Mus musculus: one gene and its partners. The protein of the gene in region 2 purifies or fractionates together with the protein of the main gene of each other region. This does not show direct contact. Links are inferred from orthologs where the notes say so. Each region holds a gene or a part of one and is shown on either strand. Other genes may lie near its edges.

Region 1 (3,960 bases), on a different chromosome or scaffold from region 2:
CCCTCTGAATAATTCCACTATATATGCATGAAAATGAGAGTGAAGATACTGCAGAAAGTCTTGATTTTGTGAAACCTCCTGAGAGGGTTTCCTGAGCTGATAGCATGTGACCACAGTTTGAGGATCTGCCTGGTGTTTAAGGACACAGCTCTGGAACTAGGTCTGCCGTGCTATGGCACATCCTAGCTGAGGACAAATGATTTCACATTTCTGGCTCTCAGTTTCCCACATTGTTACTCATGGGCCAAAAACAATACAGTTATCTGCTACCCAAGGCTACTATTTAAGTCCAGCAAGTCACTTAAACTGGACAGACTCAGTATTTGTTATGCTTCCAACAAACACACAGATTTGTCTGGTAACTCTAGTTCAGGAAGCTGAATGTTGAAGTGCATGCCTGTATTCCATCACTTTGGAAGCTGAGGAAGGAGGATCAAGGCAAATCAATTGCCAGCCTGGGCTTCATAGAGTTGGAGGAAATTCTGGGGCAATTTAGCAAAGTCCCTGTCTCAAAGATAGAAAAGACAGATGACACACAGACAATCACACAGAGAGCCACACCCTAGTTCAGGCTCTCAGGAGATGATAAACTATTTGAGAAAAAAACCTTTTATTTCATGTATATAAATGTTTTCCCTGTATTCATATATGTGTACCTTGTCCATTTCCGCTGATCCTCAGGAACCTGTGTTATGGATGGTTGTGAGCCACCATGTGGGTTCTGGGAATTGAACTCTTTCTTCTGCAGGAGCAATGAGTGCCCTTAACCTCTGAGCCATATCTCTAGCCCATACATTTGGTTTTGATGGATGAGAAAGGTAATTCACGTTAGGCTAACAAAAATGCCGCTTTCATAGTATGGGTTTGCAGTTAAAGGGGCAACTATTTGCCCTAAGCATCCTTTGTGAGGCCCTAAACACATATTTGCTCATTTTGGAAACCTCTGGCCTCCACCAAAGGACCATTTCACCTGGTGTTAGAGAATTCCACAAGGCACTAATGTCTTAGTTCCAAACAAGAGAGTTAACCCCTGGTATTGGTTGCAGAGACCACAGACCACCACCCAATTTCCGCCAAATGGTGACGTTTCCAAGATGGCAGTAGCCCCCTGATTGTTGGGGGGCTCTGCTTCCGTTTCCGGGACAGAATCCGGAAGTGCCAGTTGAGGGTCGTCTTCCTATCTTCAGTTGCGTCGGCAGTTGGAGGAGGACAGACGGTGATGGCGGCGGTCGCAGCGGACCCAGCTGCAGCTGCCGTCCCGGCCTCTGCTGAGGACCGAGACACACAGCCCGAGGCAATGCCAGACCTGGATGAACAGTGGCGCCAAATCGGGAATGGGCGAGAGCGTCCACTGCGAGCTGGCGAAAGCTGGTGAGGCTGGGCTTCAATGAAGCCTTGGCCAAGGGGACCTTGGGGGCGTTAGTATCGCGGGGTACTTAGAAATCAAATTCTGAGGATGAAGCGGTGCGAGGCTGGGAAGGGGCTTGGGCCGGCGGGAGAGAGGGGGCGTGGAAGTGCTAAGTGAATGAATCTCAACGTTTGGGGGAAAAGGCGGGGCCCGAGTGGGGCAGTCAGCCGCCTAAGGACAAAATGGGGTTTGTGATAGGGGTGGGGCGTGAAGGGGATGGCCGTGGGAGTCAGGGGACTGCATCGTTTGGGGAGGGGGTGAGAGGGGACTGCGTCTTGGAACCTGGAGCCTGGAAAGGAGGCTGGCTCCGTACTTAACGCGGGGGCGTGGCGTGTGTTACAAAACGTTGCGTCGGTTGCAAGGAACGGCCTACAAGTACTCGAAGCGCCTGTGAACCCGACGAGCTTGGTGGCGTCCGCTGAAGAGCAACTCCATAGCCTATAGCTGTGGGCCGAGGGGCGGAATAGTGTGGTATGGGGAGGGTGCCTGGCTCCTGGGAACAAGGCGAAGGGCTGGGGAGGGGCAAACTGTGGAGGAGGGGCAGTGCCTGGGGCAGAAAATGGCGCCTGCAAAAGAGCAAAGATTGTGACGCGGTATTTTTTTTTGTTGTTTTTGTTATTTTTTTAATACCCCTCTAGTTAAGGTCTCCTTCCTAGAACAGGAGAAAGTGCAGGTGGTTTACAAAAGATTATTTGGGGAGTTTTTTTTTCCACGTGATAATATTTTTGTAATCAGAAATGGCTATTTAAAAGGGATCCACAGCTTTTAACAAATTGTCTTGTTAGACCATTTTTTTTTAAATGCTAATCAATGCCTCTTAAAATTTACTGCTCCCCGGGTTCCTATTTCTCTCTTGAGTTGCTGCTCATTTTTAATTGTGAAAATCGTAAGACCTACAAAGATTATAGTATAAAACGTTTTACATAAATGGACATCCTGCTGAAAGAAATGGTTTGTATGCTTCAAAAATGGCAAGGTCATGAAAGGCATACGCTGAAGAACTGTTCCAGATTGAAGGAATTAATGCAGTTTAACAAGTCTATGCAACACGTGATCCTCATTTGGATCTAGCACAGGAAAAATAAATTATTTTTAAAAATGAGGGTTCTTTCTCATAATTTATTTCTCTTTCACTGTAAATTTTATTGGAAAAAAAATCGGTGAAATTTGACAAAGGCCAGTAGATAAAATACTGGTACTGATAATTTCTTGTGATAATTGTAATGTGGTTATGAAAGAATATCCTTTGGTGAAAAAATACATACTGAAATTTCATAGATAAGGAGCCATCGTGTAAACAACTTACCAAATAATTATATTAAAAATGCACATGGGAGGGAGAAGATTATGGAAATATTGGTCATAGGATGTAAAATTTAGTTAGACAAAAGGGAACAAATTCAAGAGCTCCCTTGTACAAAATGGTGATTATAGCTAATAACACTCTATTCTATACATGAAAATTGCTTAATAGATTTTACATGTTCTTACCCAAACAAACTGTGTGACATAATTGGTTTGTTAACTAGTTTGATTTAGTGTTTTACAATGTATATATCAAAACATGCTGTATACTATCAATGCACACTTTTTTTTGTCTAGTTTAAGATAAATGAAAATACCCCAAAGATGATATGGGGAAAAAAAGAATAGAACAAATGGATAAGGTGTGTTAGATTTGGGGACTCTAAGGGCATACAGAGAAGTCTTTATATTATTCTGCCCTCTCTTTTTAGAGGCAGGGTCTCTATTATGTGGTCCTGGCTGTCAGGGAAGTAACTATATCAGGCTGGCTTTAAACTTAGAAATCTGGCTGAGATTACAGGCATACTCCACCATGCCTGGCTTTTTAAAAACCCATTTTCAGTGAGTTTACTTCAAAGAAAATTTAGTAAATTTTATATGTGGATTAATCACTCATGTGAAGATTCAGAACATTACCTTAAAACTCGTATGCTTTTCCCCTCCATCTTCATAGGAAACTGTTATCCTAAATTTTGAATTAAAGGGCTCTTTTCACATTTCATTATCATAATAAACTTCCAATATTCATATATATGTGAATATACACATATATATGAACATGAGTGTTTGTGAAATAGACTGTGAGCCCTTATATTCCATGGTAAATAGTATCTGTATGATGTAATTTGATACATTAACCTTGACCTGTTGGTCTGCCAGGTTTCTCAAGTGTTAAGATGCTGCTGTTCCCTTAAGCAGTAGTTTCTTAAATACATATTTAAATTTTATTTATATTTTCTGTCCATCTGTACCTCAGGATATCCAACAGCTTCTTGTTTCATGCAGTATAAATGGTAAAGTCCTCAGTGACCTGCAAGGCTTTTGGAGACTGGTACCCCTTCTCCATTCTAACATTTCTCTGATCTGATTATCAGCCCCCAGGCCCTTCCTCTCTCCATCAGGGACACCCACATTAGACTATTGCTGTTCTTTACATTTAGGGCCTTTTCCAGGTTTTCCCACTTTACAAAGTTCCTAAACAACACTGCCAGTGAAATGTGTATACATTACTGGGGAGATAAATTACA
Region 2 (3,500 bases):
AAAGTTGCTATTTAAAAAGAAATGTACACAGGGAACTGAAATGGCTCAGCAGATTTGCAACCAAGCCTGAGGGCTAAGCTCAATCTCTGGGACCCACAAATAGCAGAAGAGGACTCAGGCAAAATGCCCTCTGACCTCCACATGTGCAGCACAGCACATAATCCTTAGGCAACCCCCCACCCCCAACAGGTAAACGTAAAAAAAAAAAATTAAAGAGAAAAAAATGACTTTTAATATATGCCTATAGCCACAAAATAGGGAAGGAGCAGGGGACAGGAGACCATAGAGGGGAAGTGGGAAAGGAAATGGGTGAAAGGGGAAGGGAGGGAGGACTACAGAGAATGGGGAGGGAGGACTACAGAGAATGGGGAGGGAAGGAAGGACTACAGGAAATGAGGAGAGGGAGGACTACAGAGAATGGGCTGTAGATGGCTTTTGTGAAGATTAAACACTCTGGAACACACTGTCTGTGGATCAGAAGTGTCTTGCTCTTGGCTCTGACACAGAAGAAGAGAGCACGCTCATGGCTCAGCACCAAAAATGAGACGAGAGGGAAGCCACTGCACGTGCGACACTGGCTAGGAGCAGAGCCTCACCTGGCCAAGGCAGCCTGCAACTCCTCCTCCTTCTTGGCCAGCTGCATCTTGAGCTCTGCTATCTGCGCCTGGAGCTCAGCAATCTGGTCACTGAGGTCTGTGGAGTCTCCCTCCAGCTTGCGACGGGTCTTCTCCAACTCCTGCCTCTGCTTCTCCTCCCTACGGAGGCGCTCTGCCAGGAAGGGCAGGAAGGGACACGGAGGGAGCCTTAATTACTTGTATGAAACCAAACACTATGTACTTGTAGGACACATGGACTGTTTAAAGGGACACCATGCACACGCCCACTTCCAATTCTGAGATGAAACAGAACCCCAGAAGCTACCAAGGCCTGCGCGTCCCCATGGCAACACAGCACCTGGAGTTTGTGGTTCCTTCCTTCTTCCCTTCACTGCTGTCAAAAGTCCTACAGCTTCTAAAATGGCTGTGCCCAACACATGCCATATCAAAGCTTCATGCTTATCACCCCTCACACAGGCAACCGTCCGGCCATGCAGCAGTGAGCCTGCAGCCCTGACTCCCGGAGAACCAGATAGCGCCCCTGAAGCCTGACAGCCTTGCCTTAAGGCAATGGCCTAGCCCTAGGCTGAGCCTGGCTCGCCTATGAGTGCACAGGGCTCAGTGCTCTGCGTGGACAGGATGCTCACGGCCAGAGCGTCTCACCTTCCAGGTCGGTGATCATTGCCTCGTGCTTGTTCTTGAGCTTGGCCAGGCTCTTGGACTTCTCCTCCTCTTCCATGAGGTTGGTAGTGAATTCAGCTACTCTGTCTTCCAGCAGTTTCTTCTCCTGGAGGTGGAGGAAGAATGTCAGAGTTCAGTGCTGGCTAGGTACATACTTTAGCTCTTCCAAAGGAAGACTCAACCAGAAATGTATGGATCAAGGGTAAGGCAGGGCCTTAAAGAGTTGGCCAAGTTCATAGACACAACAAATGTGGGTATCCAAGACTTCCTGGGGTCAAGTAGGAAAGACTTCTAGGTGTCAACTAGTTTAGGGAAAGGACAAGCAGCCCCACCCCTGGCCCTACTAAGAGGCTGCCATCTGGAGTTTCCTCAATCCTAAAAGCTGGTAAAGACCTTTGCCAAGGAAAAACGGCAAGCCCCTGCCGCAACCTCCTCATTCATGAGAAAAGTCCTCTGCACATGGTGCTGGTGCCCAGGGGCCTGTGTGCCCGGGAGGACTGTGCTGCTGGACAGAGCCACGGCACCGCGGGGGATCGGGCAGGTAGGCAGGTCTTGGCCCTGCTCTGCCCACCCTCTCCATGACTGCATGCACAGCAGGCCCCACCTTGGCCAGTTTGCAGTTCTGGTCCTCCATGATGATCTGGTCCTCCTCCAGTTTCTTCAGCTTGGCCTCGGTGGTCACCTTCTCAAGCTGCAGCTTCTGCCGGGCGCTCTCCTCCTCCTCCAACTGCTCCTCAAGTTCCTAAAGGGAGAGGAGACGTGAGAAGGACGGAGGACACACACACACACACACACACACACACACACACACACACACGTCTGATCCCTCTTCAGGAAACCAGCATGTGAACTGGGGCACATGACTGACATAGTCTCAACAGTGTTCCCAGGGTGCCACAAAGAGGCCTGTGCCAAGGCTGATGGAGGAAGGACCAGAGAGAGAAACTCAGTGGCCTCAACGTTCAATGGGTAGCGCTCACGGAGATGTGAGCCGTGGACACTGAGTGATTGTCGCAAACAGGTGGACAAAGAAGGCTGATGTGGTAACTGAACCTGTGTGCCTATCTTGTGCCCCTGGCTGCCCACACTGTGCCCGCCCTGCCCGGCAGGAGCAGGGGTACCTGGATGTTCTGCTGCATCTTCTTCTTCTCGGCCTGCAGGTACTGGCAGCGCTCCTCCTCCTCCTCCACCCTGGCCTCCAGGTCATGGCAGATCTCCTCCAGCTCCTGCTTCTTCGCTGTCAGACGGGCCCGGAGCTCCTCAGCCTCGGCACACAGCTCTGTCTCCGCCTGCAGCTGCTCCTGAAGCTGCAGCTTCTCTGCCATGAGCTGCAAAGAACACGTGCAAAGGCTAAGTTCCCTGCGGCCTCCTTGTAGTCCAGATAAGAAATGTCCCCCGAGGCTGGCACGAAAGGCTTGTTTGCCAGTGGCTGGCACTGTTAGCTGCTGAGAGCTGTAGAGCAGAGGCCACTGGCACACATCATTGCAGGGAATATTGGAGTCCTGGCCCCTTCTTTCCCTCTGCTTCCTTAGCACAAAGAAGTGAGCCGCTCTGCTCCGCCACTCTCTGTCGTGGCACTCGGCCTCAGCAGGGGCCTGACCACAGGCTGAGTCTCTTCAGCCCTTTTAAGTGACTTATCTTAGGCACACTGTCACAGCAACAGAGCTGGTGTGTACCCCTCAAGTAGCTCCAGGGTGGGTGCTTATGGCTCAGGCTCCCGGCTGACAACTGCTCTCCCACTGGACTTGACTGCAAAGGTTTTCTAAGCAGTAAGCTAGCCGGCCTGACGGTGACCAGCAGGGGGCAGCACTGAGCGCAGCTGGGATTGATGGGTGGAGACTGACACCTACCTGAGACTGCATCGTCTCCATCTCTGTCAGCCTGTTCTCTGCAGCCAGATGTTTCTCTCGAACCTTTGTCAGTTCCGCCTCCTTGGCTAACAGCTCATCCTCATGTCTTATTGAGTTCAACAGGGGCTTGACCTGGGAGAGGAGACACAGGCAGAGTTGGCCCACCCCTAGAAGCTCCCTCACCTCTGGAATGCAAGCTCTAGAGACGACCTGCTACCTGGGGAGGGGGTACAAGCAGGTACAGCCTTCCTAGAAGTCAGTCTGGTACAACATGCAACAGGCCTCTGATTCGCTTAATTACGCTGCACGGAAACCACGTCTACGCGTGCATAAAGATGCCCGTGACAGCGCTGTTTATAGGCCCAAGACTTAG
Region 3 (4,300 bases), on a different chromosome or scaffold from region 2:
CCTCTCAGCAACAAAACAGTTTTATCTGTGTCCTCCCTCTTCTTTCTCATCGAATAAGGAAAACAACATGGATATTTTGGCCAGAATCTGCAACTATGTTCTAATAAGCTGTCATGAAATACCACATAAACATCTCCACAAATAGATACATTTGAACACTGGATACTCAGTATACCAAACACTTCAAGAACACAAGACTCTTTTTTTTCAGCACAGATTCCCCGGGAAAGACTGACAGATACTGACACATTTTAAATTATCCTAAAAGGGTATCCTCTTGTACTCTTAAAAATAATAATAATAATAATAACAAGTAATAAATGCAATGCCACCTCAAAATTAAACTTAAATGAGGAGTCAGTGACAACACTTAACTTAGTTTGTGGCAAAATGACAATACAACCTCAATCAAAAGTTGAATCTCCTTCCAAGTTACCTTTTGATTAAACAAATTATATGGTGGCAGATTGGTAATGTCAAAACAGGAAGGTTAAGAGATAACACATTAAACCACTTGAAAACAATGCACTTAGAGATGCGACTGCTGCGGGATATTTATCAGCTTCCACCACCCCTAGACGAGTGAGGGATGGATGCTAGCTTGCCTCCAACGGCAATGTGGGTTACCAAGCAAGTTCATCCCCAGATTCAAAAATACTTTGTGTAGTCACACGGGCAAATAGGAAATATTAGGAGGCTGGGGCATTTAATATCTCTATTTTGAATACAGAACCCTGATAACCTGAGCTAACTAAGATAAACTCCCTCATTCCAGAAGACAAGGACTCGGCAAATGTACATCATGGTTTATTAATCAAGCCTTGTCCTCCTCTTCTTTATTCAAAGGGATGGGCAAGCGAACGCTTCTTCCATCGCTTAACCCGGAGGCACTGGAGCACTTGAAAAGACTACCAGCAGCACGGAGAACGTAAGAAAAGAAGTTTCAAATCCAATCAGGCAAATAAAACTAATATTCTCTCAATCCAAGGTTAATGAGGCGGGGGGAGGGGGTACGGGAATGGGAGGAGGAAAAGGAGCCTGCCTCTTCTTGACTCAAGGCTGGTTTTGCCCTTTTCCACGACCACTGACTGTTCTATCAGGTCTGTTAGTGTAAGATCCTGGTATTTCGAGGTTTCTTATCTAAATGGTAAGGTGGAGGAAGGGTGTAAAATAAAATCGATACTCACTGCTAACTTTCATGCTACCAAAAGCTGAAGGCTGCTGCACTGGCTTGCAGCTCTCCGCAAAGGAGGTGGTTCTCGGTCGCCCCGACATGATGGCTCTTCTTGAATCACCTTTTCCTTCCTTAATCCTTTTCTTCCTTTTGTTTTATGTTAGGGTGCTAGGTTAATGATAAATGCAGCATTAAGTTCTCCCGCAAGAAAGAGAAAGAAAGACTTCGTTCTCTTGGCTTTTCACTCCTTTTGTATAGCTATTTAAGAAGAAGGAAAAAAAAAAGGAGCTATGTATTTCTTCAAGACAGATCGGTACGGATATTTAACACATAGATGATTTAGAGCTGGGAGAAAAATACAATTCTTTCACCTCCCTTTCCTGGAAGAGGAGAAAAAGGGTGGAGTGGAATCCTTAAAAATATATATATATCACGTGAACGAGGGCAAATACTTGATTGAAAATAAGTACTCTGAGTATTATATTTTTCCTCGGGGATTTTTTTCCGAGTCAATGAAGAAGGGAAGCGGCGGAAGGATCACGAGCCTCACGCTTGAAGAGAAGGGGGATGGGAAGGAGGGAGGAGATGGCTCGGAGATGCGACGGCAAACGCTGCGGCTCCGGCAGCAGCGGGATCCGGCGGTCTGACGGCGGCGGCGGCCGGGTGAACCGGAGGGCAGCGCAGTCGCGAGTCAGCGGCGGGCGGTGGCGGCGGCTCCTCTCCTCATTGCGCCAGGAGCAGCTGCAGGCGGTGGCTGGATCCAGCGGCCATGGCGGCAGCGGCGGCGGAGGCAGCTCCCTTCAGACCCCAGGCAGCGGCTCCCTGACTGCTCCCCATACGCCGGGGACATGGGAACCAGGCAACCGCTTCCGTCCCTCGGGGTCCCCTCCCCCGTCCGTGGCCCCGGCACGGCCGGCCTCCGCCCCTCGCCTTTGCTCAGCGGCTGCTCGGGAAGTGTCCGCGCTGTGCCCGGAGCCCGAAGCCCTGTCAGCGGCTGCAAGGCCGGCTCCTCCTTGCTGCCTTCCTTCCTTTGTCACTCGGCCCAGGCGGCGGCGACGGCGGCGACACAAGCCCGCATTCGGCCGGGTCGGGGGCTGCTCTGTGCGAGGCGCGCCGTCTGCGCAGCCGCCTAGCCCTTCCCCACTCCCCCTCCCCCTTCCTACTCGTCCTCCGCCTCCTTCCTCCCCCACCCAGCCCTTACACCGCCCAGCGCCCCGCCGCCCGCGTTACAGGCGTCTGGGAATCGCTCGCCGAGCCCGCGCCCGCCAGCTTCGGCTGTAGAGCCGAAACCCAAGCCGGAACCAATCAGAGACGTCGCTTGCTTGCAGCTCCTGCCGGAAAAAGCCGAGCGACCTGGATAACCAATGAGGAGACGCCGCTGGGAGACCACGCCCCAGCAACGAGGAATGCCGAAGGTAGCCGAACAGAAGGGAAGAGGGTTCTCCTTGTCCTGTGGCTGGCTAGAGAGAAGAGTCGACAATAGCGACAGTGGCCAATCAGAGCTGTTGGCCCTCAGGGAAAAGCCTCAAGAGTTAAGGACGGCGAAACTCCCGAGTCGCGGGAGGAACTGCACGGCTGGGCGCCGCGCCCGTTTCCTCATTGGCTGGACAACTCCGCTGGGCGTGTACCTTTCTCGGTGATTGGTGAAGGGAAGGGGGCTTCCGAGGACATCGGGCCAGTCAGAGCCTCCCCTCCCTCTTTGAGGCGGGGAGAAGAAGAAAGCGGAGGGAGGGCACCTATAAAGTGCCATCTCATTGGTCTGCAGCGTCGAGCTGGAGCGCGGGGGGAGGGGAGCTTCGAAAGGGAGAAGGAGGGTGCAGGAGCCCGTGGCGGCGGCCAATAGGCGCTCACTGCTGTGCAATCGCAAGACCTAGCTGCAGTGGGATTGGCCTCGGGTGGTCCCTAAGCGGGCGGACGGGATGAGTGGTCGGCCTGCATCTGCTTTCCGAGCCGACGCTCGTGCTGGCTGTGCAGCCCGGTCCGACAATGCTGCGGTCGGAGGGTCGGGCCCCGAGCGCTCTAGTGGGGCGTGAGGCCGTCCCCATTCCCGGGAGCTCCGCGGGGCGCGGCTTACCAAGTGCGCCCGAGGCTCCCCACCGCGCGTGCTGAGCCTATGAGAACGTCTATTCTCTGAAAGACGTAGGGCGCCGTGGCCGGGGCCGAACCCTCTAGCGCTTAAATGGGAACAAAGCTTCCAGAGAAGGAGAGCCTCTGGGCAGCCGCGCCCGCCCATCGCGGGGGGCCGCTGATCTCGTGGGGGGGGGGGGGGGAGCCCTTTGCAGCAGGCGCACAAGGCCAGACCAGGCCTTCTGGAAACGCCCCCGAGAGATGAGCTCATGCTAGATGAGCGCGGTCCATGGGCGCGACTGTCCAGCGCAAAAGCAGCCCCGAAAACAGGTGAGGGGAAATGTGGTCAGGACAGTACCTCGAATCCTAGGAGGAAGCTCAAGTCAGAATTGCTCGCAGCAGTTTTTAGTGTTATTGGATGATCAGCACACTGCTGCCTAAGTAGGTTTCACATGTAGTCCAGCGTCCATTGTTCTACAAAGGAGACCATTGCCTTGGTCCATCCGAGAGCTGTGTGGCGTGGCTACTACGACTAGAGTAAGTTAGAGTGGACACTGGCAATCCTGACTGTAATCCCGTGATACTTGTAATACCCACCCGCATAGTCATCTCTTTCTGTTGAGATGCTATCTCCAGAAAGCACATGTAAAAGTACACGTACTTGATCAGATTGCTTAGCTATTGCTTTAAAATCTGATGAGGGACTTGGGACAGAACAAAGTAAGCTTTGAAGGGAGCCAGTAAAGGTCTGGATAGTGTTTGCAGACTCAGATGTCTGTAGAGGCCTGGCAAATAAAGCGAATGACACCGGCCTGGTGGAAGACAATAGGAATGTTAGATGATGTGGAAACGGGAGTTCCATCCATGCCCTTAAGGGGGTCCACCATTAAAATAATCGTATTCTCCTTTTTTTTTTTTTTTAATTACCAAAACCATAACGTTGAAGTTTTATGTGTGATCTCTAAATCTGACGTGTTGGCAACCGATATGCCGAAACCACGTAGACCAACAAAGTAAAAAATCCCAGGAAAATGTGCCCGACAGGCAGCCAATTTGTAA
Region 4 (3,500 bases), on a different chromosome or scaffold from region 2:
CGCATGGGAACAGCACAGGGGCAGCTCCATTAGACAGGTTATAGCTTCGACAAAGTCTAGCAAGGGAGCAGCTTTCAAATGGCTCTACTGACCCAGTGGACTTTTTCTAAGCTTTATCATGGAACACACAGTTTTATAGGTGTACTCCCTTAAAGAGTCCCATTTAACAGCTCTACTCAGTGACAAGGCACTTCAGAACAAGTGTCCTAGGAGCCCCTTACCTGGATGTTGGTGGGGTCCTTGTATGACTCATCACTGGCTGTCTGTAACTTCTCACTGATCCAGGCTTCAATCTCATCCACATCCCGGCTGAACTGCTGAAGTGTTTGAGATTCTCCAAGTTTTGACCTTTTTTCAATCATCTGGGCTTTTAGGCGGCGCCACCTGAGTGTGAAGACCAAATATGAGTGTTCTTTCCAATAAGAGAAGAAGCTGGAATAGGTATGGCTTCTCACATGTGGACATTCATCCTCTCAGAGCTGGGGACTGTCACCATCGCAGGACACCTACCGGTCAAGGACCTCATTGCGTCGGTTTGCAATGTCTCCCTTGGCATAGTGGTCAACGGCAATGAGCTGGTCGGCAAAGGCCTGCAGGGCAGCTATCTTTTCTTCCTAAAGGCAACAGGCAAAGAGGTCAGGGTGGGCTGAAGAAAGCCTGTCAGCCTGATAGTTTTCAGAGGAGATAGTTACACTTTGAGTGACGAAACTAACTGGTAGCAGGATCGGAACACATCGACACTTTAGAAGCCAGCTTGATTATCATCATTACTAGAGTAGGGTTTAATTCAAGAGGACTTAAGGTCATACTGAGGTGTGCAAGTGTAGGGACACCAGCAGATGTCTAACAAATTAGAATCATAAAATGATCACTGCCCTGTTTTCAACAAAATGGTTTTCAAGTTACAGCTATCTATTTTGTTCCTTGTTTTAGTGAATTATGTTATCAAAACATAATATTTTGCCCTAAAAATATTTTGGGGGTGGGGGCTGGAGAGATGGCTCAGTGGTTAAGAGCATTGACTGCTCTTCCAGAGGTCCTGAGTTCAATTTCTGCAACCACATGGTGGCTCACAACCATCTGTAATGGAATTCAATGCCCTCTTCTGGTGTGTCTGAAGATAGTGAAACAATGACAGTGTACTCATATATAATAAATACATCTTACAAAAAATATTTTTTTGGGGGAAGGGGAAGGGAGGCTGGGTATGGTGGCACATGCCTTTAATCCCAACAGGGGCAAGCAGATCTTTGTGTCTGTGAGTTCAAGGCCTGTTTCAAATAGCCACTTCCAGGGTAGGCAGGACTATCCAGAAAGACCCCCATTTCAAAATACAAAATAGAACAAATCTGGGGGGCTGGAATGATGTCTTAGCCATTAAGAGCACTTGCCGCTCTTGCAGAGGACCTGGGTTTTATCCCCAGCAACCATGTGGCTCCTTATAATTCTACTCTACTCCTACAGGATCACTTACTTATCTTCTGGTTTCTGAGGGAACTGCACACACATGCTATGTATACTTAGAAACCTGCACACAAATACTCATAAACAACTTAAACTTTTTCTATTCCATTATTATGTTTTGAAGGGCTGTGGTCTGAACCCAAGTTTCATGTTAGGCAAGTACTGTACCAGGGAGCTCCAGCTGTGTCATCATTCCATAATACAGAACTGATTTGAGGACCCCCCGCCCCTTTTTTCTTCTTAGACAGGGTTTCTCTGTGTAGCCCTGGCTGTCCTGGAACTTGCTCTGTTCCAGGCTGGCCTTGAACTCAGAAACCCACCTGCCTCTGCCTCCCGAGTGCTGGGATTAAAGGCGTGGGCCACCACACCCGGCTTCACCCAAGGATTTAAGCGCTCGCTGTTTGTGACCGTGTGATGACCCCAGGGTCTGCAGCACACTCAACAGTGCTCTAACCCTGGGTTGTAAACTTTCCTTTTTTGTTTCTTTGGAAACAGTTTTGTCACATAGCCCAGACTTAAACTCCATCTTTCTGCCTCAGCTTCCCATATGCTGAGATTATAGGAGTGTTACACCAAGCTGCTATTTCGAGGTTTCTTGTTATTGTTTTGAGACATGGTCTCACTATGTAGCCTTGGCTGGCCTGGAGCTGGCTATGTAGGCCAGGCTAGCCTCAACCTCCAGACATATGTCTACTCTACATGTCTCTGCTTTTTCAGTACTTGCAGGAATAAAGATGTGCTACCACATATGGCCCATTTTTAAAAATAGTTCTTCATATACACATTTTCACAACATTCATTGAAAGTATTCATTGGATGTATGACAGAATATACTTTTTCTTAAAAAAATTATTTCTCATTACAGGTATGTGTTCATGCACATGTAAACGCTGAGTGTGGGGGCCCGCAGCAGAGAGAGACATAAGCACCCCGGGAGCTAGAGTTACATGTACTTGTGAACCACTTGAGGATGCTGGGAGTTGAAATCAATTCCTCTCCAAGAGTAGTAAATCTGTGCTCTTAACCAGGAAGCCATGTAGCCAGCCCAATATAATGTTTCTGTTTTGTAACTGGTATGAAAATCTTAGTTGGTGTGAGCTTTTTTGCAGAACTGGGGATTGAACCCAGGACCCTCAAGCATAGTAGGCAGTACTCTACTGCACCTGTTTGTTTAAGGGAAAGATTCTCACTATGTACTCCTGGCTACAAATAAGATGTGACTCAGGACAAATCCAGACTAGGACCTCGAGGTCCAGGACCTACCTGGACATTGATAGCTTTGTCAAAGTCTTCATGTTTTTTGATCAGTGCCTCCACACTGTCCAGCGAGTCTCCTTTGTCTTCTGTGTTTAGGAAGGCCTCCCGGGCAGCCATCCAGTTTTCTGCTTGTTCACAGTCCCGATGGAACAGCTACAGAGTGGACAAGTAGGTGTGAAGGAGGAGTTGGCCACTTGTAAGAAAATACCTGATGAGACATAGTGTACATACCTGCAACTCCAGGCAGTGGTCCAGCATCATCCTGCGCTGGACCCAGGCCTTCTCCAGGTCTGTGCGCTCCTGGTCAAGAATATCAAGTTTCTCTTTGATCTCCGGGCTGGCATAGTGCCCGTGAGCTAACAGCTGCTGCCCAAACTGCTCAAATGCCTGGAAAGTGCCAGCCCTGGCATCAATTTCTGTCCGGTGTTCCTGCCAAGAGGAGTAAAGGGATTAGATAACTTGCTGAAGATGCCCATACTAGTGTCAAGCCCTGGTTCCCAAGACGGGGACGGGTAAGGCCACTAGGCCAGCAGGACCTACCTGGTGTCGCTCCAGCAAAGCCTCAGCTCCAGTGACGTCCTTGGCTAGTTCATCTGAAGATACCAACCCTCGTATTCCATTGATCCAAGACATGAGGTCCCTAGAAACAAGATTCACAGAGGAATACTTACTACACTATCTGGAATCAAGCAGGCCTCTGTCTAGGAACCAGTTCTATCTCTTCTGCATTAGAGGATTATTTTAGGTTAACCTAGACATAAATTGAATAGGACTGGGTT
Region 5 (4,156 bases), on a different chromosome or scaffold from region 2:
TATATTTTTATATTGTTTTTCCGTATTTGAAAGTACTTAAAAGACCACCTCTTAAAACTCATCTCCAGTTGCAAAAATCAGAACACTGATGTTTTTAATAGCTGCATATAAATATAATATAAATCCATTAACAGTAATATTATCAATAATAACAAACAAACCTAATTAGAATAAATGATAATATACCAGTAACCATTCATTTAAGGTGTTGGTTTTTTTAAAGGACATTTGAAAAGATCATCTTAAGCTCTTGAACAGAAAAAAAAATAGCTATGGCCAATTAAAAAGAAAATGTTCATAAAAATTGAGAGAAACAATTATTACTGCAATTATTTGAGGGAAGACACAAATGTTTAAGAAATACAACTGAATAAAATTTACATGTCAGAGACATTATAGATACCTAATGAATGCAATGTTAAAAAAAAAAAAAAAAAAACGAATCAAATAGAATGAGTTTTGTCTCAGGTAGAAATCACATTTTTCTAATTTAAAACCATAAAAAGGGTAAATAGCCGGTCCTGGTGGTATACATTTTTAATCGCAGAACCCTGGAGACAAAGCCAAGAGGAGAGTTAGACGTCATCCAGCGATATACCATAAGACCCTTTCTCAAAAAAAAAAAAAAAAAAGGGTGATGGTGGCTATTTCAGGGATAAAAAAGCCACCTACAAAACCTGCATACAAAAGGAATTTTCTAAACTCAAAGTTAAGCTCCTCAGTTATATGAAGAGCAACATCCAAAGAAGTATGTGTATACCACTTCACAACACACCATGCAAGGTAAATATTGACACAAATTATTTCACAACCTACATTCTGATTTTGAAAACAAAACTACAAGTCATCTCATCTTTATTATGTGCTGTATCTTTCTTAAACGATAGACTGCGAATTGTTGAAGTTCTCATTTTTATTACAGATTCTGATACATGGCTTTTTTGTAAAGCTAAGTATTTATGGATTTACAGTCATCCTTACTTAGGCTTATCAGCAATACAGATGCAGTATCCACTTCCTTAAAAGTGCAGTAAGCAGTCTATTTAAGAGGAGAATTTAATACTAAAGCAATTTCTGTCATACATAACAAGACAAAATTTTCCTTTTATCTCTCCTCAATTCTAAATTTACATAATTTACCAAAAAGATATCTTAAGAGTATTAACTAATCTGAGGTGTGTCAAAAACATTCGTCGTGTCTCTTGTCCAATAGGGCTTTGATATTTAGCTTTTTAACAGCTGTATTTCTTAAAGTTCAGGCCATCTTTATTTCAAACGCACTTCCCTATCCAAAACATTTTAACATAATCTGCTGCTTCTCCCAAAACCATGGGTTATACGAATATCCTTCACGAAGTAAGATAATGGTGGATAACACATCCCATATACTATTTAGTTAACATTTCCAACAGTACACTAGCTATTTAACGCAATCCCAAAGAGATTTTATACTGTTCTATTTTAGCATGCTCAAAAGACATAAAAAAAATTGACGTAAAATTGTCTTTAGAGGATTCTTCTAAAGCTGATAAAGTCTTATTAAAATTATACTTTCTATTTTTAAGGCTAACGCAATTATAGCACATTCAACTCTGATTCTTCCAACAAAAAGCCTCCGCATCAAAATGGGGAAAACGTCCTTTTCATTTTCTCAACTGAAAAGGGGGAGGGGAGAAGAGGAGGAGGCCAACTGCTTACAGGTTTGCATTGAAAATTAACACAGCAGTTTCTGAGGAATCAGTAACTCACGTTCAACTACTGAATCCTACCAGAAGCAGCACACGAATAAAACCAGAGCGCAATCCTTGGGCTTGAGGTGCCGCTTCATCCGTCTTCCTTCCAATCCACCCCCAATACCCCAACCCACTAAGCACACATCTAAATATGTCTTCCCCACCAGAGCGCCCCTTTGGAGGAAAAGGCCTGCCTTTCGCAGCCTGAAGCCACGGCTGGCTCTCCGATCTCTGCTTAGATGAGGCCCCCGATCTCGACGCCCTGCACGTCCGCCCCACCCCGGGCCCACTCGGGTACCCGTGGGTGACAAAACCCTCCCTCCTGCGTCCAGCCAGCACTGACAGTTAAGGCTGCAGCAGCCGCAGCCACCAGGGCCTAGTCCTGGCACCGGCCCCTCCAGACCACGCGCCCCAAGCACTCGCTCACGGAGGCGGGTGAGGGCCCGGCGCCTACCCTGTCAGCGCGGGCCGGAGGGTGACGAGGGGACCGGCGGTACAGACCAGAGGGAGCGCGCCGGGCAGGCCGCAGCCGCAGCAGCACTGACCTGTCCTCGCCCCCGCGCGTGGGCTGCGGCCCTCGCAGCTGCGGCCGCCTCACTGGTCCTTGTCGCCCTCGTCCACCGCCGCCGCCCGCCACCGCCTCGTTCCCTTTCGCTGGCGCCACCGCCGGGTCTCATGCGGGACCCGCGCTTCTCCTCAGGAAACCGAGGCCGAGAGGCCAGGCGCCTGGGCAACCTTGAAGTCGGCGCTGAAGCGCTGCTGTCGCGATCTGTCCACAGTGGGGGGCGAGGGCGGCGAGCAACTCCGAAGAGAAGCAGAAGGAGGCGCCACCGTCAGCGACAGGTCGACGGAAGAGAAGCGTAACGAGGCGGTGAACAGCTGCGTGGCCCGGTGCGCGAGCGAGAGAGCGAGCGCAGGAGGGGCGACGAGGTGCTGGCAAAGACGAAAGGCCCTGTCGTCTCCTGGAGTCACCCAAAGAGGAGCGCCACCATCTTGGGAGAAATACGGATCTCGCGAACGCAGCACTGGACGAGAGGACTAGGTGGGCGGACCGAGTATCCCGACAGGCAGCGCGCGCCAACCCTGCCGGGCGAGGGCTCGGAGTCCGGAGGCGGGATGCGAGGCGGGGTTGCGCGTGCGTGGGATGGCGACGGGCTCTGCCCCGCCCCGATCGCAGCTCTGTGGGGCCCTCCTCTAGCTCGCCTTCGCCTGCGGCGCAGGGGCCTTTGGGAAGGGGAGATGGCCTTGGGCTGGGTGGAAGCTGGCCAGCATCGTCGCCATCTTGAGACTGGGCTGAGAGAGGCTTGGTGTTTTTAGCCTCTGCTCCTTTTACTCAATCTATAGACCAGTGTGCTTCGGTGTACTCGCGAGAGCGGACAGGTCTACCCAGCCTAGCAAAGCCCAGGAGTCAGAGGGACGAATAGGCCAAGAGGGTGTAGCCTACTGGCGGCACGAGGAGGCATAGAAGCGTTTTGTTGCTAGAGCTGACCCTTACGACTTTTCATCCGAACTGTCCGAGTAAAGGATTCAGGCGTTGAGATTGGGCAACCTTTCAGCAAACAAGGCCATCAGCCTCTGCCAGAACATGATATGTCACTGGCTTACCAGACTAGTAGGTAAAAGCCCAGCCCCTCCTGTGTTGTCTTCCAGTAGATGTCAACTGAGAAGAAACCGCCTTGCTTGATCACACGTGGATAGAGACTAATTTTGATTTACAGAACACCCGAACCCTGTTAGAGCCATGTGACTTGTTGGTACCGGAGTGAGGGTTTAACTTAGGTTTGTTGTTAATGATTTTGACACTAAATTATTATAAAGACTAGCTGACATGTTATTTCCTGGCTTGCAACTTAGTAAGCCTTAATCATCTAGTGCTCAAAATGTAACAATCACATGTATTAATGTGCTTTTCTGTTTATTACAGCTCCTATAATGTGTGTGTATGTGTGTGTATATATATATACACATCATATATATATGAAAGATCTCCCCACTATAAAAAATATTTTTATTATTGGTTTTTCAAGACAGATTTCTCTGTGAAGCCCTGGCTGTCCTGGAACCCACTCTGTAGACCAGGCTGGCTTTGAATTCAGAGATTCGCTTTCTGAATGCTGGGATTAAAGGCTTGCAATTTTTTAAAATTAAAAAATAATAGGCGTGTGTGTGTGTAAACTATTACAGGATAAATAATAAGTGCAACTGTTATATCAGATTTTAAGATACTTTAAATTTTTTCTATTCTTTTTTTTTCTCCATCCATTAAAGATCCTCATTTGGAATACCATTGTATTATATGAAAGGGGCCAGTAATAAATGTAACCCTTTAAAGAGTTATCTTTGCAAACTATTTAAATACAAAACCAAAACTGAAAATCATTAGACTGCTAAGAAAAGTAAAGTACATAAACTGTTGCAGCATG
Region 6 (3,962 bases), on a different chromosome or scaffold from region 2:
CCCGGAATGCCAGACCGACTAGTAAGTTGGACATGACTCTGTGGGTATTATCAGTTGCCACTGTAGCTGTTGACATGTATATTGGGTTAACATTTTAAAGTAAATCAATGTAACACTGTTTTTCCAGAGTCTTGGGTAAGATAAAAATGCAGTCTTACGTCCAAAATTTTTGAATTCTGGTGAATCTAATAAACTGACCTAAGTTCCTAACATTGTTACTTCTCTTATACAGGGTTGTTTGCATAGAATGGTAAACCTTGTTCTCTAATGAAATAAAGTACTGAACAGGTTGACTTATCTACAGATTTCCTTGGCAGCTAATTTTAACTGGTAGTGTTGGCACATTTCCTCTCTCCAGTGGTTTGCCTGCAGAATGCCAGTGAGGCGTGCCAACAGTTCTGACTGTATGTTATCTACAGAAGTGTGGGCGAGAGGCAGTGATGTGGATGAAACATGTCTGCTGCAATTTTTCTTGCTGTCAAAATTCTGTTTGCATATTATGTCCTTCTCTTCATTTATAAGGCAGAAAGCAAAAACTGATATTTTGAAGTATCTCTTCCACTCATTTATTTGAAACTTCCATTAGGGTTTTAAGTAATATATTTCTTTGCAGTTAATCAACATTTTAATGCTCTATTTCTGTTCGACAAGAACACTTCTGTTTGACAAACATGGTGTGGCACATCATGTTTGGGATCAGTTAGTGATCAGTCTCTGCCAGTGCCTTACAGGTGTGGCAACCTCTCCAAGAACTTGGATTATAATTCAATGATGCAAGAGGGACTCGTACATTTAAATATCTTCTTGTTATTAAGCATCTTAGTGAGAAGACTAAGGGAAGAAAGTTTGTAGCAGTGTGGTGAAGAAACATGATGAAATGTTTTATCATGCTTTAAAACAACAACAAATCAGTAGCTTGCTTGTGTGGCATCTTGTCAAAATCATAACAGGATCATTTAGGGCACCCCCTTTATTCCTTCTTATACTAAGTCTGTCTTGTAATTATTTTTTAGGAATAAACCAAGGAATTTATAATTTATGCTGTCACTCTAGCATGCGCAAGAATACTGGGGCACAGTTAGACACAGAACAGGGGCCAAATGAATCCCCTTTAAAACAAACAAACAAACAAACAAACAAACAAACAACAAACTTCCCAGGTGCATTAAAGCTCTTTACCACTTAACAAAATGCTGAACTAGTAGAATATCTTAACATCCAAACTCAGTATTCCATAGAAGGCAGTTTCTTCCAGTGTGCTACAGAGAGGAGGAAGTTTATCTTCAACAGTACATAGGAATTTTGGACCAAAAGTTGATTCAGCTACAAGTAATGTGAGCATTGCAAACTCCACACCGGTGTCAGCATTTTCATTCCTCCCCAGAGATGCCCAGCTGATAAGCAAGGGAAATACAATATCATGATTGCTCTGATATAAGCTGCCTATTCAGTTTGAGTTAAAATGGAAGGACCTACACTTTGCTGTTACCACTCCACGTCATAAAAAATTGGCCATTACATTTGGAAGGAACCTCCGAATGTCTACTTCACTTATTTTCAAATCAGAAAACAAGTGCAAATTGATTGTAGACCTCCACAATAATAATAACTGGTAACTCTTGATTTTTTTTTTTCTTGGTTGTTTGGTTTTAGAGACAGGGTCTGTCTTTGTAGCCCATGCTAGCCTTGAACTCAGATTCTCCCCATCAGCATCCTGGGTGCCGCAACAGGCATGCGCACCTGAGTGCTGGTTCTTTTAAAGTGGCTGTGACTTTCTTAAGTCAAAAGACAAAGGTAAATAACAGAAATCACCAACTCCTAGGAGGCATGGGACTGCCCTCTTCTCTCAGACTTCAATACAGTTTACAAAATACCTATATGGCCAAGTATCTGGGACATTTATTTTGAAGTTTCCTTTTTCAGATTTGGAGATTTTCAGAAATATAACAAACACATAAGAATTTCCTTCAGTTATATATTTTGGAATTTCCATCCATCCAACTGTACCCCTTTCATTAAACCACAAGATCTGTAAAAATCCTAGACATACTCTCTAGTCCATCATTTTTGTTAAACCAATTGAAATACTGAGGCCTAGAAACAAATGAGAATTCAATTTAGACACAAATTACGGGAGGCAAAAGAGTGCCTAAGTCAAATACAACATTGAGTTCCTAAATTAAACATCAGATTTCCTAAAACGGACGGATAAAACAGATTTTTCCCCCTCTTTTCAACGACATGGAATTTCACATTATACACAGCACCTAAAACCAAATTAATAATTGCATATTAGTGGGGGGCTATGATCATAAAATGGACGTCTGACAACACTAGCTCACTTTTTTTTTTTCTCTGTGAAATATGAAACGCTATTTAGATTTGTCCACCTGGTCTTAAGAAGTTGCGACCCAAGATTAAATGTAAAAGTCAGCCCCGTAAGTCTTTAAAAGAGGTCAACGATCTTCCTCTGGGCTGAAGTCATCGCTTTTGCTTACCCACATACCTAGGATGCTGGGGCGGCTCCTTCAAGTCACTGGGTATGAGGTTATAAATACTCTCGGAAGTGCAGGGTGAGTCCATGGCCACCAAGGAATTCCTTAACAAGTACTCAGCTTTTTGGCTCACTTTCCCACTGTCTCAACTCCTTCTCTCACCGCCTTTTTCTTTTCTTACTTTCTTATCAAAGAACTAAAATTTCTCTTTCGTGTAATTTCCCTTTGACCCTTTCGTAACAGTCCCTTTTTCAGGAAGAAAATAATTCTGCTCCGAGTCTGTTTAGCGTTGTTGACCACGTGGTTGCTAAGGAAACAGTTGCTAGGAGACGGGGCAACCTGGCTTTTATCTGATTCCTTTTTTGTAACCTCTTCTGTCTGAGAAAAACGTAAGGAAAAAGACGTTCCTGCGTCTTTGGAAAAGACGACATGAAAACATTGTCCCCCCCCCCCGCACCCAAACATTTTGTGGTTTTCCTCGGTACATCTGGAAAGAAAAATTCTACAATAGGGAGCAGGACAGACACGCACGCGTCACATAATAGTTTCCAACATTCAGGCCGCGCCCCTGCGGAGGTGGAGCGATCGACGGGGAAGGGGAGGAGCCTCGGGGTAATGGGCGGGGCGTCTGGGTTACGTGGTTGGCCTAGTGGCGCAGCGCGCAGTCAGCGCAGGCGCAGAAGCAGCAGCTTGGGGCGGGCTTGCCGGCTGAGGTTGCCAGGCGGTGCCGAAGGCGCTTCCCTTTCTCCCTTTCTCTCTTTCCTCTTCTTTGGGTGGTTTTCTTGGTGAGTTAATGGAGGAGGAATGGAAAGCCAGCGAGAGTTGTTACCCTAGCATCCCCCCTTCCGTCGTGCCCCATCAGGCCTCTCTTTGCCATCCACCTGTCGCACCGGACCCTGCGGCGGGCCCTGCGGTGCTCTGTCTCCACGGTGCGTGCGCGAGCGCTACCCGGCGCCAGGAGGACCAGCCTTTGGAAGAGGGCCTCGAATTTTGCCCAGGTTTCAGCCCTTGACTCCCTTTTTGACATGTTTTTGTTTTTTTCCTCTCCGAGAAGTGCTTATATTTCGTTTGAGCTGTTTGATCTCCCGTTCATGCATATGCACTTGTGATTGCACTCTCATTTGAAAGCCTTCACCCAGTCACATCCTTTGGCCCTGGGATTTGGGAGGAAATTTCGTGGGTCTAAATCCACTTGGCAGTTGCCCTGCCAGGGAAGTCAGGTGCATCAGTTCTTCAATTCTCACTGCCTGGTGGCTGGGTTAAATGGCCTGGTGGCTTAGTGAACTTTTCAGTCCTCACTTGGAAGGCCTCGCTCAATGCAAGTCGTGATTGGAGGCTTCTGCTAAATTTTATTCGATAAGAATAAAGAAACAATTTAGTTTCCCGTTTTTCGGTTTGATAGAATTTATCTATTTTTTTTCTGGGCAGCCCACGGTTCAGATGAATAATCTTTTGGGGTGGGGTGAT

The links.
Region 1: the proteins of Myh9 (region 2) and Usp11 purify together in Homo sapiens (affinity purification with mass spectrometry; 3 studies listed by BioGRID, with this or other methods). This does not show direct contact. The link is inferred for Mus musculus from reciprocal best matches to the Homo sapiens genes MYH9 and USP11.
Region 3: the proteins of Myh9 (region 2) and Gsk3b purify together in Homo sapiens (affinity purification with western blotting; 4 studies listed by BioGRID, with this or other methods). This does not show direct contact. The link is inferred for Mus musculus from reciprocal best matches to the Homo sapiens genes MYH9 and GSK3B.
Region 4: the proteins of Myh9 (region 2) and Sptan1 fractionate together in Homo sapiens (co-fractionation; 3 studies listed by BioGRID and IntAct, with this or other methods). This does not show direct contact. The link is inferred for Mus musculus from reciprocal best matches to the Homo sapiens genes MYH9 and SPTAN1.
Region 5: the proteins of Myh9 (region 2) and Ube3a purify together in Homo sapiens (affinity purification with western blotting; 3 studies listed by BioGRID, with this or other methods). This does not show direct contact. The link is inferred for Mus musculus from reciprocal best matches to the Homo sapiens genes MYH9 and UBE3A.
Region 6: the proteins of Myh9 (region 2) and Enkur purify together in Homo sapiens (affinity purification with western blotting; 4 studies listed by BioGRID, with this or other methods). This does not show direct contact. The link is inferred for Mus musculus from reciprocal best matches to the Homo sapiens genes MYH9 and ENKUR.

The regions. Positions count from the first base shown.
Region 1 is NC_000086.7:20,702,749-20,706,708, forward strand, and holds the start of Usp11 (ubiquitin carboxyl-terminal hydrolase 11), read left to right. Parts: upstream 1-1,160; 5' UTR 1,161-1,219; coding exon 1,220-1,371; intron 1,372-3,960.
Region 2 is NC_000081.6:77,772,676-77,776,175, forward strand, and holds part of Myh9 (myosin-9), read right to left. Parts: intron 3,260-3,500; coding exon 3,128-3,259; intron 2,606-3,127; coding exon 2,399-2,605; intron 2,020-2,398; coding exon 1,882-2,019; intron 1,384-1,881; coding exon 1,260-1,383; intron 769-1,259; coding exon 597-768; intron 1-596. UniProt on the Homo sapiens protein: Cellular myosin that appears to play a role in cytokinesis, cell shape, and specialized functions such as secretion and capping. Required for cortical actin clearance prior to oocyte exocytosis. Promotes cell motility in conjunction with S100A4.
Region 3 is NC_000082.6:38,087,501-38,091,800, reverse strand, and holds the start of Gsk3b (glycogen synthase kinase-3 beta), read right to left. Parts: upstream 2,801-4,300; 5' UTR 1,276-2,800; coding exon 1,188-1,275; intron 1-1,187. UniProt on the Homo sapiens protein: Constitutively active protein kinase that acts as a negative regulator in the hormonal control of glucose homeostasis, Wnt signaling and regulation of transcription factors and microtubules, by phosphorylating and inactivating glycogen synthase (GYS1 or GYS2), EIF2B, CTNNB1/beta-catenin, APC, AXIN1, DPYSL2/CRMP2, JUN, NFATC1/NFATC, MAPT/TAU and MACF1.
Region 4 is NC_000068.7:30,010,560-30,014,059, reverse strand, and holds part of Sptan1 (spectrin alpha chain, non-erythrocytic 1), read right to left. Parts: intron 3,362-3,500; coding exon 3,262-3,361; intron 3,151-3,261; coding exon 2,953-3,150; intron 2,875-2,952; coding exon 2,728-2,874; intron 615-2,727; coding exon 511-614; intron 385-510; coding exon 222-384; intron 1-221. UniProt on the Homo sapiens protein: Fodrin, which seems to be involved in secretion, interacts with calmodulin in a calcium-dependent manner and is thus candidate for the calcium-dependent movement of the cytoskeleton at the membrane.
Region 5 is NC_000073.6:59,227,394-59,231,549, reverse strand, and holds the start of Ube3a (ubiquitin-protein ligase E3A), read right to left. Parts: upstream 2,801-4,156; 5' UTR 2,279-2,800; intron 1,861-2,278; exon of another isoform or gene 1,750-1,860; intron 1-1,749. UniProt on the Homo sapiens protein: E3 ubiquitin-protein ligase which accepts ubiquitin from an E2 ubiquitin-conjugating enzyme in the form of a thioester and transfers it to its substrates.
Region 6 is NC_000068.7:21,202,566-21,206,527, forward strand, and holds the start of Enkur (enkurin), read right to left. Parts: upstream 2,801-3,962; 5' UTR 2,584-2,800; coding exon 2,507-2,583; intron 1-2,506. UniProt on the Homo sapiens protein: Adapter that functions to localize a calcium-sensitive signal transduction machinery in sperm to a calcium-permeable ion channel.